Stegostoma tigrinum: one gene and its partner. Each later gene encodes a partner of the first gene's protein in a complex. Links are inferred from orthologs where the notes say so. Each region holds a gene or a part of one and is shown on either strand. Other genes may lie near its edges.

Region 1 (8,560 bases):
ATCTTTGACTATTCAAATCCCTAATTTGGATAATGATGCATACATGAATAAAGAGGGAATAATATAAAGTACAATAGCTATATGTGGGCTCTGAGGTAGTGGTAGCGTCTCTAACTCTGAGCCAGGAGGATGGAGTTCAAGTCTTGTCTCTCCAGAGGTATGTAATAACATCTCTGACAGGTTGATTAGGAGATATCTACAATAGCTAATTGTATTAAAGAGAATTTCACTTGTGCTTTATTAATTTTGAAGATTTCTCTTTCCAGTACTGTTTCTTGGCGTGAACCTGATATCAGCAGTTGAGGTGATGGCAGGTTGCGGTGATGGCAGGTTGCACGCTGTGATATCCTGTTATCTGTGGTGGTTTTGACCTGCATTCTCTGTCTGTCTACCTGGGTGTTCCACACGAGTACGAGGGGAAACATCATCAGCAAGACATGCAGAAAGTAATTGATGCCCCTTGCTGAGGGAATGAGACGAGGATGCTCCCCCTGGAGCAGTCCTGAGAGCAAGTTCCCAGCTCAGCTAGCCTGGGTTTGTCCTACATCTGGGCGCAGGAGCTCCCTCTCTCCCTGAGTGGAGGTCACACTGCACGTGGGGTTGGTTACTTGGCCTGGCTTTCCGTGGTGGTCACTCCCTCATGAAACAGTGCTCGGAGACTTGGCAGAACACCTGATAGGCACAGACATCTTCTTAGTCTGCACAAAGTTGTGTTTAACCATTGGTATTTCCATCATACGTTCTTCTCACCTTCGTTGCACGTCCTTTAGACCTAAGGCCGCAGCCAGAGACCCATCAACGGTGTGGCTTGGAATTGGGGTGAGGTCATTGCAGTATCTGGACCTCATTTGTCACGTGCTTCCTCATTTCTGTGCCATGCTTACCAAAATATGCCTCAATTCTAAATTCGACCCCTCTGTGACCTTGCTGGGTGGAGTATTGCTGGTGGAGGGCGCATCCTGTCGGTCACTGATGTCATTGTCCTAGGGGTGAAGTCTTCAGTCTCCAGTGACTAAGGTCCAGCTTCTGCACTGAAGGGCATCTGAGAAGGAGAACAAGTTCCACAGAGTCTGGGACCACTGCACAATTCCTCCAGTGGTGCTGAGCATCCATATGGCAATTTCATGCCTCATCACTCTTGACTTACTGTCAGCAATGAGCTGACTTAGCTGGTCCCTATCAGAATAGAAGGTTTCTTGCCCCATGCAGGGGTGAAGGTGTTCATTCTGGGCACTCTTCAGACCCCTTTGCCTTTCCCTTTTGATGAGGGGGTCCATTTATCCTACAAGAAAAAGTGGATGTTTAGTGGCTTGACAAATGCCAACTGACTGTCTTGTTATCTTCTTAACACAAACTGCCTGATGTGTTTATTTGAGATAGTTTGGCTTGAGTAAATATTTGGACCCTGGCCTCAAATGCTATCCAGTTGACATGCTCACCTGCTGGCCCTGCTGCTCACTCACACAAATACTGATGTCCACCCGAGCGATTATCCCGTGCCACTGAGACACTTACCTGGGTGGATTGAAGGAGGTCATCAACCCTAACCTAACAGCGCACTTGTGATCTTGAGTGGACCCCACAGTTGCTAGTCCCCTCTGCAAATGCTGTCCAAGCTATCTTGGATGGGCAGGAGGGCCTCCAGGAGACAACTTCCTACCTTTTCCAATTGTGTAGAGGAGAACCTGAAAGAAAGTGGAACAGGTCCTTGTCTTTGCTCCACATTTCAGGTTTTGGGACTGGAGCAGTGGTATAGCATTAACATAATCCAGAACCCTAGGGTAATGCTCTGGAGACAGGGGATTGAATTCCTCCATGACTGAAGCTGAATTCAACAACAGTATGGAAATATGAGCTGGCCTAATAAAAACCATGTAACCACTATTGACAAAACAGTATGAAGCTGAAGAAGGGTCCTGACCTGAAAAGTCAACTTTTCTGCTCCTCTAACGCTGCCTGGCCCACTGTGTTCCTGCAGCTTCACACTGTATTGTCTTGGACTCCAGCATCGGCAGTTCTTACTATCTCTAACCACTGTTGATTTTATTGTTTTTGACAGTCTGGCTCAGTTATTTCCTTTAGGGAAGGAAATCTGCCATCCTTTCCTGCTCTGGCCTATGTGTGATTCCATACCCACAACAACAGGGTTGATACTTAACTGTCCTCTGGGCAATTGGAGATGGTCAATAAATCCTGGCCTAGCTAGGAAAGTCCATGATTCCATGAATGAATTTTAAAAAAGACTTTTATGAAAGGTTTGGCAGGCCAGGTAGCATCAGAGGAGCAGGAAAATTGACGTTTTGGGTTGGGACCTTTCTTCCAAAACGTCAACTTTCCTGCTCCGCTCCACCAGCTCCACACTGTTATCTCTGACTCCAGCAGCAGTAGTTCCTACTAGCTCTTATGAAGGGTTTGGATATGATGGGTTGGTGTGAAAATGCCAGGACAGTAGATTCTAATGAGCTTAGCAAGAGGAAATAAGTTGGAGGTTGTCGACTTGCTCACCGACCTGGCTTGTTCTCATTCAGATGTCTTGTCACTATGCTAGGTGACATCATCAGTGGACTCTCAGATGAAGCAATGTTATTCTACTCTGCTTGGAATTTATACTTGGAATTTAGGACGCAGTATGCCCTAACCCACTGGCCACACTGCTATACATCAGGAACATGTCAGAACTGACAAGACTCCTAACACCACTAGGAACCATGGTGGCACATAGGCCCACAGCTACTCTACGACAAAAAATTACAAGAATTAAAGACGCCATTGCCACAACATGCAGAACCAACGTGGTTTACAAAATACCACACAACGACTGCCACAAATACTACATCAGACGGACAGGATGGAAACTTTCCATCAGAATATATGAACATCGACTAGCAGCAAAACGGCACAACAAACTCTCCTTGATATCGGTATACTCAGACAATGAAGGCCATCAGTTTGACTAGGATAAGGTAACCATAATAGCTCAAGCCAAACATAGACACACATGGGAATTCCTAGAGTCATGGTTTTCCATCTGCAATGCAGTCAACGAACACACAGAATTGGACCCCACATACAAACCCATACAGATCAAAACCAGAAATGACTGTACTCACCATAACAGACCAGACAGTATAAATTCCAAGTGGAGTAGAATAACACCGCTTTATTGGAGGCCTCACTGATGATGTCAGCTAGCATGGTGACGAAACATCTGAACGAGAACAAGCCAGCTCGGCAAGTTAGTCAGCAACTTCATCCATAACCCAAGCTACAAATCTTTGCCAACACTTTGAAGTAATAAATTTGGGAACGGGTGGTGTTGTCACGAATTGCAAAGACAAATTCGCCAAAGTTCAAAATGAACAGAGGTGACCGTGGAACCTATGTTTGTGAGGCAGAGTGTCTCTGCTCCCGCACAGACCTGAACTGTGACCTGATGATGCATTATCCCATGGCGGCCTGCCCTCACCATGTTTTTGCATGTGTTTCCCATGCCTGCCCAGGCCCTTTAAATTCTCACTTCAGTCACGCACGTATTACCCAACTCCCAATATTAATTTCTCTGCCTTCACGTGTTGCTAGTTAAATTACCCCTGCTGCATTGGTTAAGCAGCTGTTAAGTGTTTGCTAGTAAGGGAACTGTGTTAATTATTGAGTTAAGGAGACAGGGCAAATAGGGAAAGACACTCATAAAAGAATTGAGAATGAGAGGCCACAGATTTAAAGTAGTTCTTAAGAGAGCAAACGTGACAGGGAAAAACCCATAAATGGTTGGGCTCAGGAACACACAATCCAACTGTGTGGTAGCAGCAGGTTTGTTTGAGATATTGAAAAGGGGATTAGACTGTCTTTTGAAAAGGAAGACCACAGACTTAAGAGGAAATAACAGTAGAATTGTGCAAAATTAAATACTCGTGGTGGGCTGGTGCAGACATGATTAGTTGAATGGCCGCCTCCTCCTGTGGCAACAGTTCTGTGCAATCTGGACCTTTATCCTAATATACAAGTTTAGTGAGAAACTGACAGATCCTTTCGTGAGAAGGAGATGCCAGAATCTACTATACCTCAGAGTGTAAGTGAGTTGGCTGTTTACATGAGTTGTTCTTGTCTGGAAATGCAGTGTCCCCAAGGAGCAGCTGAATGCAGATTCAACAGGAACTTTCCATTGGAGACTGGGTGAAGAGCAGGGGGCTTGGAGTTAATTAGATTACACAGTAAGAGCACAGGATGAACAGATGAAATGGCCTCCACTTCTGACGGAGGGAGAGGTGTAATGAAAAGGTTGCAAAGAAGAGAGACCTCAGTGTGCAGGTACATAATTTCTTGAAAGTAGCATCACGGGTGTGCAGGGTAGTAGGCATTTGGTATGCTTGCCTTCATCGGTCAGAGCGTTGAGTACAGGAGTTGGGATGTCATGTTACAGCTGTACGAGGCATTGGTAGGGCCACATCTAGAATACTGCATACAATTCTGATTGCCCTGCTATAGGAAGAATTTTATCAAACTCAGAAGGGTGCGAAAAAGATTTACAAGGTTGTTACCAAGTCCTGAGGCTTTGAGTTATAAGGAGAGGCTGGGACTGTTTTCCCTGGAGCATCACAGGCTCAGGGGTGACCTTTAGAGAGGTTTGTAAAATCATGAGGTGAATAGCCAAGAGATAATGGGAACTGCGGATGCTGGAGAATCCGAGATAACAAAGTGTGAAGCTGGATGAACACAGCAGGCCAAGCAGCATCTTAGCAGCAGGAAAGCTGACGCTTCGGGCCTAACGTTAGCTTTTGTGCTCCTAAGATGCTGCTTGGCCTGCTGTGTTCATCCAGCACCACACTTTGTTATCTAGGTGAATAGCCAAGGTCTTTTCCTAAGGGCAGGGCAGTTCAAAACTAGAGGCATTGGTTTAAGGTGAGAGGAGAAAGATTTAAAAGGAAAAGGGGAACTTTTTCTCAGAGGGTAGCGCGTGTACAAAATGAGCCGCCAGAGGAAGCGGTAAAGATGGGCACCATAACATTTAAAAAGACAATTTGCATGATTAGGAAAGGTTTAGAGGGATATGGGTCAAATGCAGGGAAATGGGATTAGTTTAGTTTATGAAACTTGGTCAACATGGAGAAGTGGGCCGAAGGGTCTGTTTCCGTGCAATCTGATTCTGAGAAACGGGCAGCGCTTGTGGTTCTCCTGAGGCCCGGACAGGGCTGGGGAGCTGTAGCCGGCCGTGAACGCTCCGAGCCCGGCAGGGAGGCGGGGAAATCCCCTCCCCCGGTTCGCATTCCAAAACTGCCTCCTTCGAGCTCCACGTCGCTGCTACAAAGGACCAATCACCAGCAGCCACACTCCGGCTTGGCATTACGGACACTCCGCCCCCACCCTACAGCCCCAGTACAATGGGAAAACAAACTCAGAAAGCAGGGGGCGAGGAGACAAGTCACAGTGAGTCTATAAACTGCTGAGCGGGAGGGATTAGCAGCGCTCGGTGTAACCCGCTTGTCTTGTACCAGTTCCTGCTCTACCCTTACTCAACACTCGCGGCGCTGAAGAAGCGGTTCCGATTATAAACCTCGCACAAAATCCAGAGGAGCGAAAAAAAACCCCTAAACTCCAAAGAAGCAGCGGGTATGGGGGCTCATGTGGAAATGGTGCCTCTGCTCATTAAAGCGCCGAACCAAAAGTACGAAGATCAGAAAGTCGAGGCGGATCCAGGCTGGACGGTGAAGAATCTGAAATCCTATCTGAGAGAGAACTATCCGAGTCACCCAGTAAGTCACTCCGGGTGGGGAGCGCTTGAGGGTGGAGTGAACCTAAAACAACAAAACGCTGGAGATCACAGCGAGTTGTATTTAGCAGTCTGGTAGATTTTATTTTTAAAGCTTTCATAGCCGCTCAGGAACGAGACACATTGTTGGTGTGGAACTCGAGGGCTCCTTTCAGGGACCCTTCGCTTAAAGTTTTTTTTAAGAAATTTTCTTGCCCCTCCCGAGACTTCCGGCTCCTACTTGTGGATCTGCCTGGCCCGTCGATCTTTGACAAGTGAGGCAGAACAGATCCGTCCTCGGCAAGACCCGAGAAATTCTCATCAGGGCTAGGCAGCAAGTGAGAAACATTTTAGCAGAGCTGGGCAATCCTGTTGTACACTGCACAGTAAAGTTGTAAGCTGCCCTACTGTTCGACTTCTCATTTTAGTAGGTAGAAGGGTGGGAGTGTGAGTATTAACATTGCATTTTAAGTGTTAACTTGGATTTTACAGCTTCTCTACATTGAAGTGTTTGTCATTAAAATCCTTTTTGTTTTTCTTCCAATGGACTATAGATGCTAAAATTATCACACTACCAGAAACTATCCAACCTGCCTTTATTTTAAATTGTTCCTCGCCAATATGTATAACCCATGCTCTGAGCCCTGCTTGAAAGGAGTACTAAGCCGGAAGCTTATTAGGTTCAGAGTGGATCGCAAAGTTTGACTCGAATGTGACTTATGAGGGTGTGGAAACTCTTCACAGTCTGGCAGAACGATCTAAAAACACAAGAAGTTTACCAATTCCAGCTACACTGTTGTTTCGGCTCCATTATATTTGCCTCCCAATGTTCAGTTCGCTGAACCTACAGGATTCTAAAATGGCTCGGAAACATATTTCCCTAATGTGGCCTCTAACTCTTTAAATGAGTTAAAAGTGTTAATTTATGCACAGCCATCGATATTTTTCCCTCTGATTGTAAATTAGTTTCTGTGATAATTTAATTAAAACAACGAGCAGACGAATCACAGTCTTGGCAAGATCTCAGACTTAATTCCCCATCTATGTGCATCCCAGCAAGGAGACAGGAGAGAGTGTTCAATCTGGGTGAGGGAATTTCTCCTTATTGATTATGGGATATGGGTGTTGCTGGCTGGACCAACACTTATTACCCATACCTAGTAGCCCTTGAAAAAGTGAGTTTCATATCAAGGAAGCAAATATAACATTGGGGTTTGATTCTATCCAAAAACCTAAAGACCTCTCTTAAACATACAATATATTTTCTTACATGTGAGACACTAGCAGGGTCCGATTGCTGATGGTGAACTATGTAGGACTGCTGTTAGGAAGGGAACTCCAGGACTTTGACCTATAGGTGATGTGTTTTCAAGTAGGATGGTGAATAACTTGGAGGACGTGTCCGGTCAAGTTTACGTTCTGTTTCTTGTGGTTTCCCCTCCTGAAAGTCACGTGTGATCTTCAAATTGACGACAGAACGGTTGCAATGTCCACGTAATTCAGCAACAACTACACACAACAGAGGAGGAAAGCTAGTGGCCTAATGTTATTGTTGGACTGTGTATGTGGAGACGTCGGTTCGAATCCTGCTGCAGCAGATGGCATTTGAAATCAATTTTAAAAAAAAAATCCCTAGAATTAAGAGTGTAATGATGACCGTGGATTCCAGATCTACACAAATTACCCCTTGGCCAATTAGGAATGGTCTCGGCGGCCAAGCCCTCATCCCTTGAATGAATCAAAATATTAGGTGAGGTACTGGAAGGCTGTAGGAGTTGACTAGCCATGAACAGAAGCCTAATTAAAATACCGCTGATATATTGCAGAAAAGTGCCACAGTATTATGACAATAATGTATCTGCTGCTACACACCTGAAAAGGTGGCATTGCATAATATAATAGTGAGTCTGCCCAGCTGTTTCAAGAATATTGCCACTCTTAAAACTTTACATTGTCAATGACCATTTCAACTCTTATCCCAGGTCTGATTAAAATATGAAATACTGATTTTAAAGTTGACAGATTATAGCAATTTGGAGAGAAATGCTTTTACCTTAAGGTGACGTGGTGATTTGTCAGCCAGTGAACAGCATGTGCTTGGCTGATGAGAGCTAGGGACTTTTCACACAGGTTTCACATCCTGGGATCAAAGGGAATGAAATGTCTCATCTGTTGACACTCATAGTGTAAAAGTGAAAACCTAAAATTTCCTGTTATGCTGTTGCTGACTTCTCTATCAAACTGAGAAAGAAAAAGAAATTAGTCCTTTTTCGTTCTAAAACAATACATGCAGCTTTGAAAGTTCTTTCAGATATGTAACCACTAGTAGCTCATACTAATATCATAGAGATGGAGAAACAACCCAGGCTGTGGGAGGACAGTGTCTATAATTGGGTGTTTTCTTTCATTGCCAGTGACTGGACATAATGGGAAGGTTTTCCATGCTCAGCATGTCACTTTCCACTTCCCTGAGTAATTATCCCCCTGTGGAATGATCCAATGTTCAGAATTATTTATGCCCTCACTCGCAAGATAAACATTTAAATTGAACTGATGGATGCACCCTAACACCTACTGCGATGGCCCTTTTAAAACACTCTCATTTCTACAAGACAAATATTGAGTAATCCCCACTGCCTGCTGACTGAAAACTGCTGATGTAAATGAGTAGCTGAGGTACAAACAACATGTTTGTTAATAAATCACTTGATATTTGGAATGTTCCCATTATCACTGATATTTGGAATGTATCATTCTTTGCCACATGCCATTGTTAAAGCACAGTCTGGATTTCGAAAGAAATCCTGGTAATAC
Region 2 (8,148 bases), on another chromosome or scaffold:
GCTTCTCCAACCTCTCCTCATAGCTAATGCCCTCCATACCAAGCAATCTGGTAAATTTTTTTTGTACCCTCTCCAAAGCCACAACATCCTTCTGGTAGTGTAGCGACCAGAATTGAGCACAATATTCCGAATGCAGCCTAACTAAGGTTCTTTAAGACTGCAACATTACTTGCCAATTTTTAAACTCATTGCCCCAGCCAATGAAGGCAAGCACGCCATATGACTTGTTGACTACCTTTTCCAACTACGTTGCCACTTTCAGTGACCTATGTCCCTGTATACCCAGACCCCTCTGCCTATCAGTACTCTTAAGGGTTCTGCCATTTACTGTGTATTTTCCATCTGGATTAGACCTTCCAAAATGCATTAGCTCACAATTTGCCGGATTTAACTCCACCTGCAATCTCTCTGCCAAAGTCACCAACTGATCTATATCCTGCTGTATCCTTTGACGTTCCTCATCGTTATCCGCAATTCCACCAACCTTTGTATCATCGGCAAACTTACTAATCAGACCAGTTACATTCTCATCCAAATCATTTATATGTATTACAAATAGCAAAATTCCCAACACTGATCCCTGAAGAACATGACTAGTCACAGCCCTCCATTCAAAAATGCACCTTTCCACTGCTATCCTCTGTCTTCTATGACTCAGCCAGTTTTTTTATCCATCTTGCAGGCTCACCTCTGACCCCATGCGACTTAACCTTCTGTATCAGCCTGCCATGAGGGACCTTGTCAAAGGCCTTACTGAAATTCATGTAGACACCATTCACTGCCCTACCCTCATTGATCATCTTCATCACTTCCTCAAAAAACTCAACCAAGTTAGTGAGACACGACTTCCCCTTCACAAAAACCATGTTGCCTCTCACTAATACATCCATTGATTTCCAGTTGGGAGTAAATCCTGTCTCGAAGAACCCTTTCCAATAATTTCCCTACCAGTGATGTAATAATGAAATAATAATGACAGAAATTCTACCATAACTCCACCTAAATGCATGTTTTCCTCATGTGCGTTCGTTTGAGGTATATTTGAGTTTTGTTGCCACGTTTGATAATAAATTTAACTAACTGATATTGACTTAGTAGTTCTGCAACTTGTTTTCAGCTTGGAACAGCAAAACATAGAGAAGCGTATGTTCTTCCAGCTATGGGTACAGTTGTTCACTTCTCTACCTAGTAATGCTTCTTTGTACTCCACTAATAATTTTCTCTTTCTCCACTTTTTCCCTCTGCCATTTGTCTCATTCTCATCCAATTCAACTTTTCTTTGATGTTTTCTCTCTGCTGAAAATTTTCATGCTTCCCATGATTTACATTTTTTTGCAACTAGAACAATGGTCCATGCTTCCTCGGTTTTGACAACAGATCACTGCCTGCAGGTATTTTGTTTTCACTTCTGACTTTTTCATACGTGAACTGGAGTTGTGAATTTCTGTGTAACGGTAAGGATCTTTCAGTTAAGTTTCTGTGTTTCTGTTCCACTGCTTCTCAGGCTTTTTTACAATTATCTGTACTAGTTTCCACTTTTAACATTCATCTTTGAGATTCTCTCCTTACATTTTTAATTGATGTATTTTTCTTTCCATTTGAATCATGACTAATTTTTCATTTTATCATTTTGCTGTGCTGAATTTCAATTTTGAATTTGTGATTTCTCAGTCATTTGTACTAGATGTCCACAGCTTATTTCTGCACGCCTTATCTTTCCCTCTCTCTGCTTCCTCTACCACTTCCATAAAGCTTTTTGTAAACCATTTCAGGAGGATAAAGGTAATGTTTTTCCCCTACTAGTCTGTAAACTACATATATTTCAAATCAGAAAAGATCTGAAACAAATTTGGTAAACAGATGAGCACCAAGAAAGAACTAAAACGTTCTAGGTGAAGTTGCAAATTTGGATCCTAGACATTTTTTATAGGATCCATCTGTTAATATTGTGTGATACAGTAAATTTGTATTTTATTTTAGAGTGTTTTGGGTTGTTGTTTAAAATATGGTTCATTGTACCACTGAGAAATCCACAATATTTTAAAACAATTTGTTACAGATGTCAAATGTGAGCAAAGTTTTCAGAGCAGATTGTTGGATATGGATTAGCCTGTAGCCTCCTCATTATGATAGATCTTAATGAAAAGAAATAGCTTTGTAATTACACAGCATCAACCAGTCAAGGAAATCACTCAAAGAACTGTGTACAGTTGATAACATAGAGTAAACAAAGCATGGTGTACATACATACACAACTAAATACAACCTGCCTTTGTCTACATTGTTTTTCCCCAATGGTGTTTCTGCCTCGTAGGTAAGAAGAATGCCCAGTCACATTTATTTCATTGTAACACCTTTGTTAAATGGTGCACCATTGTCATTTTTTGCAGCGTTTTATAGGACACCATCTTTTGACCTTACAAGACTGTACTTGACTGAGACTGTACTTGACTGAGACTGACACCTAAAATATTATTGGTGGAAATTACTTTTATTTATAATTACAGATAAAATATCAGTTGAATATTAAAGAAGTCGCAGTTGGTGTTCAGGCAAAATAAAACACTAAGCTTTAGAATTGTCATTTTTAAAATGTATTCTTTCCTAGGATGTGGGCATCACTAGCAAAGCTGCCCATTCAAAATTGCCCTTGAATTGAGTGGCCTGCTAGGCCATTTCAGAGGGTAGATTTAACACATTTCTGTGAGTTTGGAGTCACAGAGATCTATCTCTAGATCTTTTAGATGATTATTTATAGTTTCATGGTCACCATTACTGGGGCTAACTTTCAGTACCAGACATATTAATTGAATTTAAATTCCACTAGTTACCATGATCCTAAAACATTAAACTGGGCCTCTGGATTGCTAGTGATAATAGCACTAAGGTACTGTTTCCTCCTAGCCAGTGATAAGAATTAAATTCTCTCAGTGATAAGAATTAAATTTGCTGAACATATTCTACATATCAGTTGTCACAATGTTCCTCTTTTAATAAGTAAACACAAAGGGTGCTGAAAGTTATTAGTGTAAGGCAAATAAATAAATGGGACTAAGTATCTGCAAATATAATCTAAAAATCTCAAGAAGTTTTATTACCTATAATTTTGTTGTTTTCTGGACACATATCTTAAAGAACAAGTTATTGTTAATGATATTACCTCCCAAAAAAACCATAAATCCATGGCTGTTACAACTTATCTATTTGCCCTCATACTGAATTAAGCAAATCTAGCTGGTTACCTTGACTGTATCTTCAGCATCCAAGCAGTTCATTTTACAATTATATGCATTTTTAAAATTCATTAATGGAATGTATTGCTGGCCCAGGAAGGTCATTGATGGATGGCTGTTTATTGCCCATTCCTAATCGCCTAGAGAAGGTGATGGTAAGTTGTCTTCTTGAACCACTGCAACACCTCAGTGTTATTTGGAACAGAGTTCCAGGATTTTAACATGACGACAATGCAGGAACAGTGGCACTACTCTGAGGAATTCCTGCAGTGATGTACTAGGGCTGAGATGAGCTACAACCATTTCTTCTGTGTGTTCGGCAGTGAACTTGAAGGTCGTGGACAGGGTACAAATTAAGCAGGCTGCTTCAACCTGGATGGTGTCAGGTTTCCTCAGTGTCGTTGAAGCAGCATCCATCCAGACAAATGGAGAGTATGCCAAGACACTGAGCCTTGTAGATCATGGACAGGCACTGCAAGACAGCAAGTGAGTTATTCACCACTTAGGTCATAGCCCTTGGCTTTTTTTTTGTTGCCATAATATTTATGTAGCTAGTCCAGTTTCTGTCCAGTGGAAACTCCCAAAATGTTAAAAGAGAGGGATCCAGCGATGGTAATGTCATTGAACGTTAAACGGCCTGGTTCTTGTTGCAGGTGGCCATTGGTTGGTATTTGTGTGGTGTGAATGTTATTTGCCACTTATTAGCCAAGTCCAAGGAAAATGTGCAATCACCAGCAAACATCCTCACTTCTGGCCTCGTAATGAGGCTGAGATGATACACTTCCAACAGCCACAACTATTTTTCTTTTGGCTAGGGATGCAGTAAATTCTGGAGAACAAGTCATCAGTACTACTTTTGAGTGCTGTCAGAACTCAAGGCCTTGGCAGTCTCCAGTCTCCTTCCGCTGTTTCGAGCTACCCCGCCAAGTGAATCGAGAATTGGTTGGAAACTGCGAAGCTGGAGAACTCAACAGGAGGTCGCGATGTATGATCGACTTGGCACTTCAAAAGTGGAGCAATCGTGTAAACAATCTTAGTAAGTCAACAGTTAGCAAATAATATTCTCGTTGGTTCAGGCTGCAAGATTCCCAGAACATCCTTCACACAACCTGGAATGAAGCTCGCTCACATCTAGACCAATATTTGACCTAAATGTCCTTGTTCAATTTTTTTGCTTTCCTAAACAAAATTGACTTTTGTCCGGCTAAAGAGAGTGCTGAATCAAGGGTAACACTACCAAAACTACAAGCGTCACTCATTACTACTGTCACCCTTTATTTCGCATTTACAAAATGCTACCTGTTTTTAGTTTGATGAGTGTGCGCGGGTACTAAATGCAGTCCCATAAATTCGGTTCATATCGAGACCTGGCTGTGAGGTTGAGGGACGAGGTTTAACTGATTTAACTGCAGCCGCCCGCCGGGAAACTGGAGGGTGGGTACCTTTGTCGCGCCTGCGCCGGAACCACTGTTTAACGCCACGTCACAAAAGGTCAAGTCTCCGCTCGCGCTGGAGGGTTTCGGCATTAGCCTGTTCAAAGCCGGCGCGTGTGGTCTGATAACGCATTGTCCTCGAGCCCTGGGGTCTTGGGACGGGGTCGTGTGACGGCGCTGCTGTGTCCGCGAGCCCCGGTGGGTGGAGTCAGAGTGTTTGTGACTTCCCGCTGTGTCCGCGATCTCCTGAAGCGGCAGCGCTGCCAGAAACTGACAACATGGAGGGCCAGTACAACCTGAGGAATCCGGGTGAGTGAAACGTTCTCCCTTCCTCAACCGGCTCCCCCGTCCTTTCTCCCGTTTCGTGCCTTCTGTGAGTGTGTGTTGTGTATGAGTGGTCGCCTAGTTCCGGCCCTCTCCCGGCCTGTCGTACCCTACACAACTGCTGCTGTCCTGTTGCAGGCCTGTCGCTTTCTGCCCCGGTGTGTTGAAGGCCGTAGTTGTGCCTCGCTCCCTGAGATGCCTTCAGAATCCACTTGCTGCTACTCGGTGTTTCGCTGGGCTGGGCTGGGCTGGGCTGGACTGGGCAAGACACAACACTGAACTTGTTTCGAGACAATAAAATGTGAGGCTGGATGAACACAGCAGGCCCAGCAGCATCTCAGGAGCACAAAAGCTGACGTTTCGGGCCTAGACCCTTCATCAGTGATCTGAACTTGTTTCGGGTGGCTTTAAACATCAGTCGTCGAATCCCTTTTTGTCCTGTTACAACCTTCCAGTAGACAGAAGGATGGTGCACAGCTCAACCTCTGCCACCTCTCTTAGTCTTAATCCACCTAGGAGTTGTTTAGTTGGACTGCTGGTCAGCCTCTGAGGAGGATTTCTTTTAACACTCTTCTTCCCCCCCATGTAAATATTGGGAAAACCTCAACTGTGGTTGTTGGGCTCCTTGGAGCCACTTGCCACCAGTTCCATTCTCCTCTAGAAATGTCACTGGTTAAAGCAGATAGTTTTTATCCCATTGCCATCTAGCAGAAAGATCACCTGTTTCTACTTCTAGAATTATTTGCTCAATTCCTCTGCTGTTTCACTTGCATGTGCCCACACAACCAGGGTCAGCTGTTTCAATATTGGAATCTAATTTATTGTCACTGACCTCCAATGTTAACATAACCTAATCTGTAAGCACTACTTGACCTGCTCAGTGTTTTCAGCACTTTGTTTACTTTTAATTTCTGGCATGGCAGTATTTTACTTAGTACTGTTCTGGCTGATATTTCATCCTTCATTCCTGTCAGTATCAGCATTAAAGCTTCTGCTTCCCTTGCATGTTCCATACAAAGTCTGATTTGCACATTAGGCATATTCTTGTCTGTTTTGGAAATTTGTGACTGCGTATGGCTTCCGATGAATGTCTCTAAATTTGCTTTTAGAGAACGATAGAAATCGTCCAAAATAAATCCAGTTTTTTTAGCTATTGATCTGTTGGAGTATGAAATGTACTAGATCCCTACAGTTATTTGCAATGTACCTGGAATTACCATGGGTATTTGGGTTTGGGCCACAAATATTGATCTTGCATTTTTCTGAAGGAGAGTCCCGACCCCGAAACGTCAAGCTTTCCTTCTCCTCTGCTGCTTGGCCTGCTGTGTTCATCCACCTTTATGCCGTGTTGTCTCTTGATCTTGCAAGTGATGCCCACACCCCATGTAACCAAAAATTGATCTTAAAATTGAAGTATGAGAACATTAGTGAAAGGTTTGTTTTCTGATACTGCCTCCATTGCCAGTTAGATGGCAGATGAGAGTTATGTGGCCTTGATGTGTGCTTTGGTCATTCTTGTTAAAGTTAGGTTTTAGAGGAATTCATATGGAGTGTGTGCTATTTCTTAATACCTTTTTTGAGCACTATTATTAAGCTGTATGACCTGAACAGTTATGATTTATTAATTCTGGATCCTAATAATTGTGTTTTTGATGGCCGCTGGAGGTTAGATGTAAGAATACTGGCCTGCTTGAACTTGCTTTTGACCACATGTGGGTTGAATTTGAGACAATGAATTCCCTCGGAAAAGGATTGATCAAAAGGGATGGTTGTTCAAGCCAGGCATTTTCTGTGTGTTGGCATGAGCAGAGGGATGGTGGCAGTGAAGGGTTGTCAACTTTACGGTTAGCCATAAGTTACAGCAGCTTTTGACTTTTCGGACCTTTTCTGGCCAGCAAATCAGGTAAGCCAATCAAAGCCTTCCCAAATCTTTGACTCAAAGTTTTTATTAAGGGTTCTAGACGCTGGCTAGTTGTCCATCAGATGTTTCAGCTCCGACCATCTGAGGCTGTCTTCTGGCCTGAACTACTTGTTGATATTAGTGGACGTGTCCAAATTGAGTCTTTTGCCAGTTAGTTTCCTTTTTAAGGTATAATATCTTTAAGATATAAGATCCTTTTAATTTTGTTCAAAAAAGTGAATAAGAAGTTATCCTTTTTCACATAATGATTCTCAGTTTATAAACTTTGCTATTATACAACTTAAAATACTTCATTTTCTTTAAGGAAAGAAGCTCATGCCAAAATGAATGCAAAGTTTATAAACTCTTGAGATTGGTGATAGGAATTCTGACAATTCAAACAAAATGGGCACGTTATAGAACAGTGTACTTGAGACTGGAGCATACAACATTTTAAGGTTTATATGCCTTCAAAATAGAGGGGAGTGTTCAGTAGTCAGTATAAATTATTTTGTAGTAATTTCTTAAAAATAAATTGCACTGTATTTGTATCTTAGTGTTGTTTCAGTGGCAATAACTTAAACAGCTGTATAAGAAATCAAAACTGAGTCAAATTTTACAATAGATTTACCTGGGTTAGGATAAGTTTTTAGCAAAAAGGAAGTGTACTATATGTGATTCTTAAAATATATCAGAGAAACCGCAAAAAGTTGTAACACAAAGCAACTTGGGGTGTACTTGTGCATGCAAGCGAAGCAGGAAATCAGGGAAGCTAATGGAATGTTGGCCCTTATTTCAAAGTGGTATGGAGTACAAGTAGGGAAGCCTTGTTACACCTGTACACGGTGCTGGTCACACCACGTCTGGAGTATTGTAAGCACTTTTGTTCCTTTTAACAAGGGGACCAATATTATTTCATTGGAAGCAATTCACTAGGACGATCCCTGGTATGGAGGGATTGTCTTGAGCAAAGATTAAACAGGCTGGGACTTTACTTGCAAGAGTTGATGAGACATGCACCAGTAGGTTCAGGAATGGCTTCTTCCCAGCTGTTATTGAACTGATGAATGGATGCTGTAGTCCCAAATAATGCTGATCTTGCCAAAATTGATCTCATCTATTGCACGCCCTGTGCAATATAACCTGTATGCCTAAGTTATTTACAACCTTGATTTGTGCATCCTTGCATACTATGATCTGCCTGTATTGCTCGTGAACAAAGCTTCTCACTGTACTCTGGCATGGCACATGTGACAAT

The links.
Region 2: herpud1 (region 1) and ube2j1 share a complex: the UniProt entries of both Homo sapiens proteins name them as parts of the HRD1 complex. The link is inferred for Stegostoma tigrinum from reciprocal best matches to the Homo sapiens genes HERPUD1 and UBE2J1.

The regions. Positions count from the first base shown.
Region 1 is NC_081369.1:15,385,402-15,393,961, forward strand, and holds the start of herpud1 (homocysteine-responsive endoplasmic reticulum-resident ubiquitin-like domain member 1 protein), read left to right. Parts: upstream 1-5,368; 5' UTR 5,369-5,609; coding exon 5,610-5,750; intron 5,751-8,560. UniProt on the Homo sapiens protein: Component of the endoplasmic reticulum quality control (ERQC) system also called ER-associated degradation (ERAD) involved in ubiquitin-dependent degradation of misfolded endoplasmic reticulum proteins.
Region 2 is NC_081357.1:40,759,529-40,767,676, reverse strand, and holds the start of ube2j1 (ubiquitin-conjugating enzyme E2 J1), read left to right. Parts: upstream 1-4,700; 5' UTR 4,701-4,944; coding exon 4,945-4,975; intron 4,976-8,148. UniProt on the Homo sapiens protein: Catalyzes the covalent attachment of ubiquitin to other proteins. Functions in the selective degradation of misfolded membrane proteins from the endoplasmic reticulum (ERAD) and is essential for cells to recover from ER stress.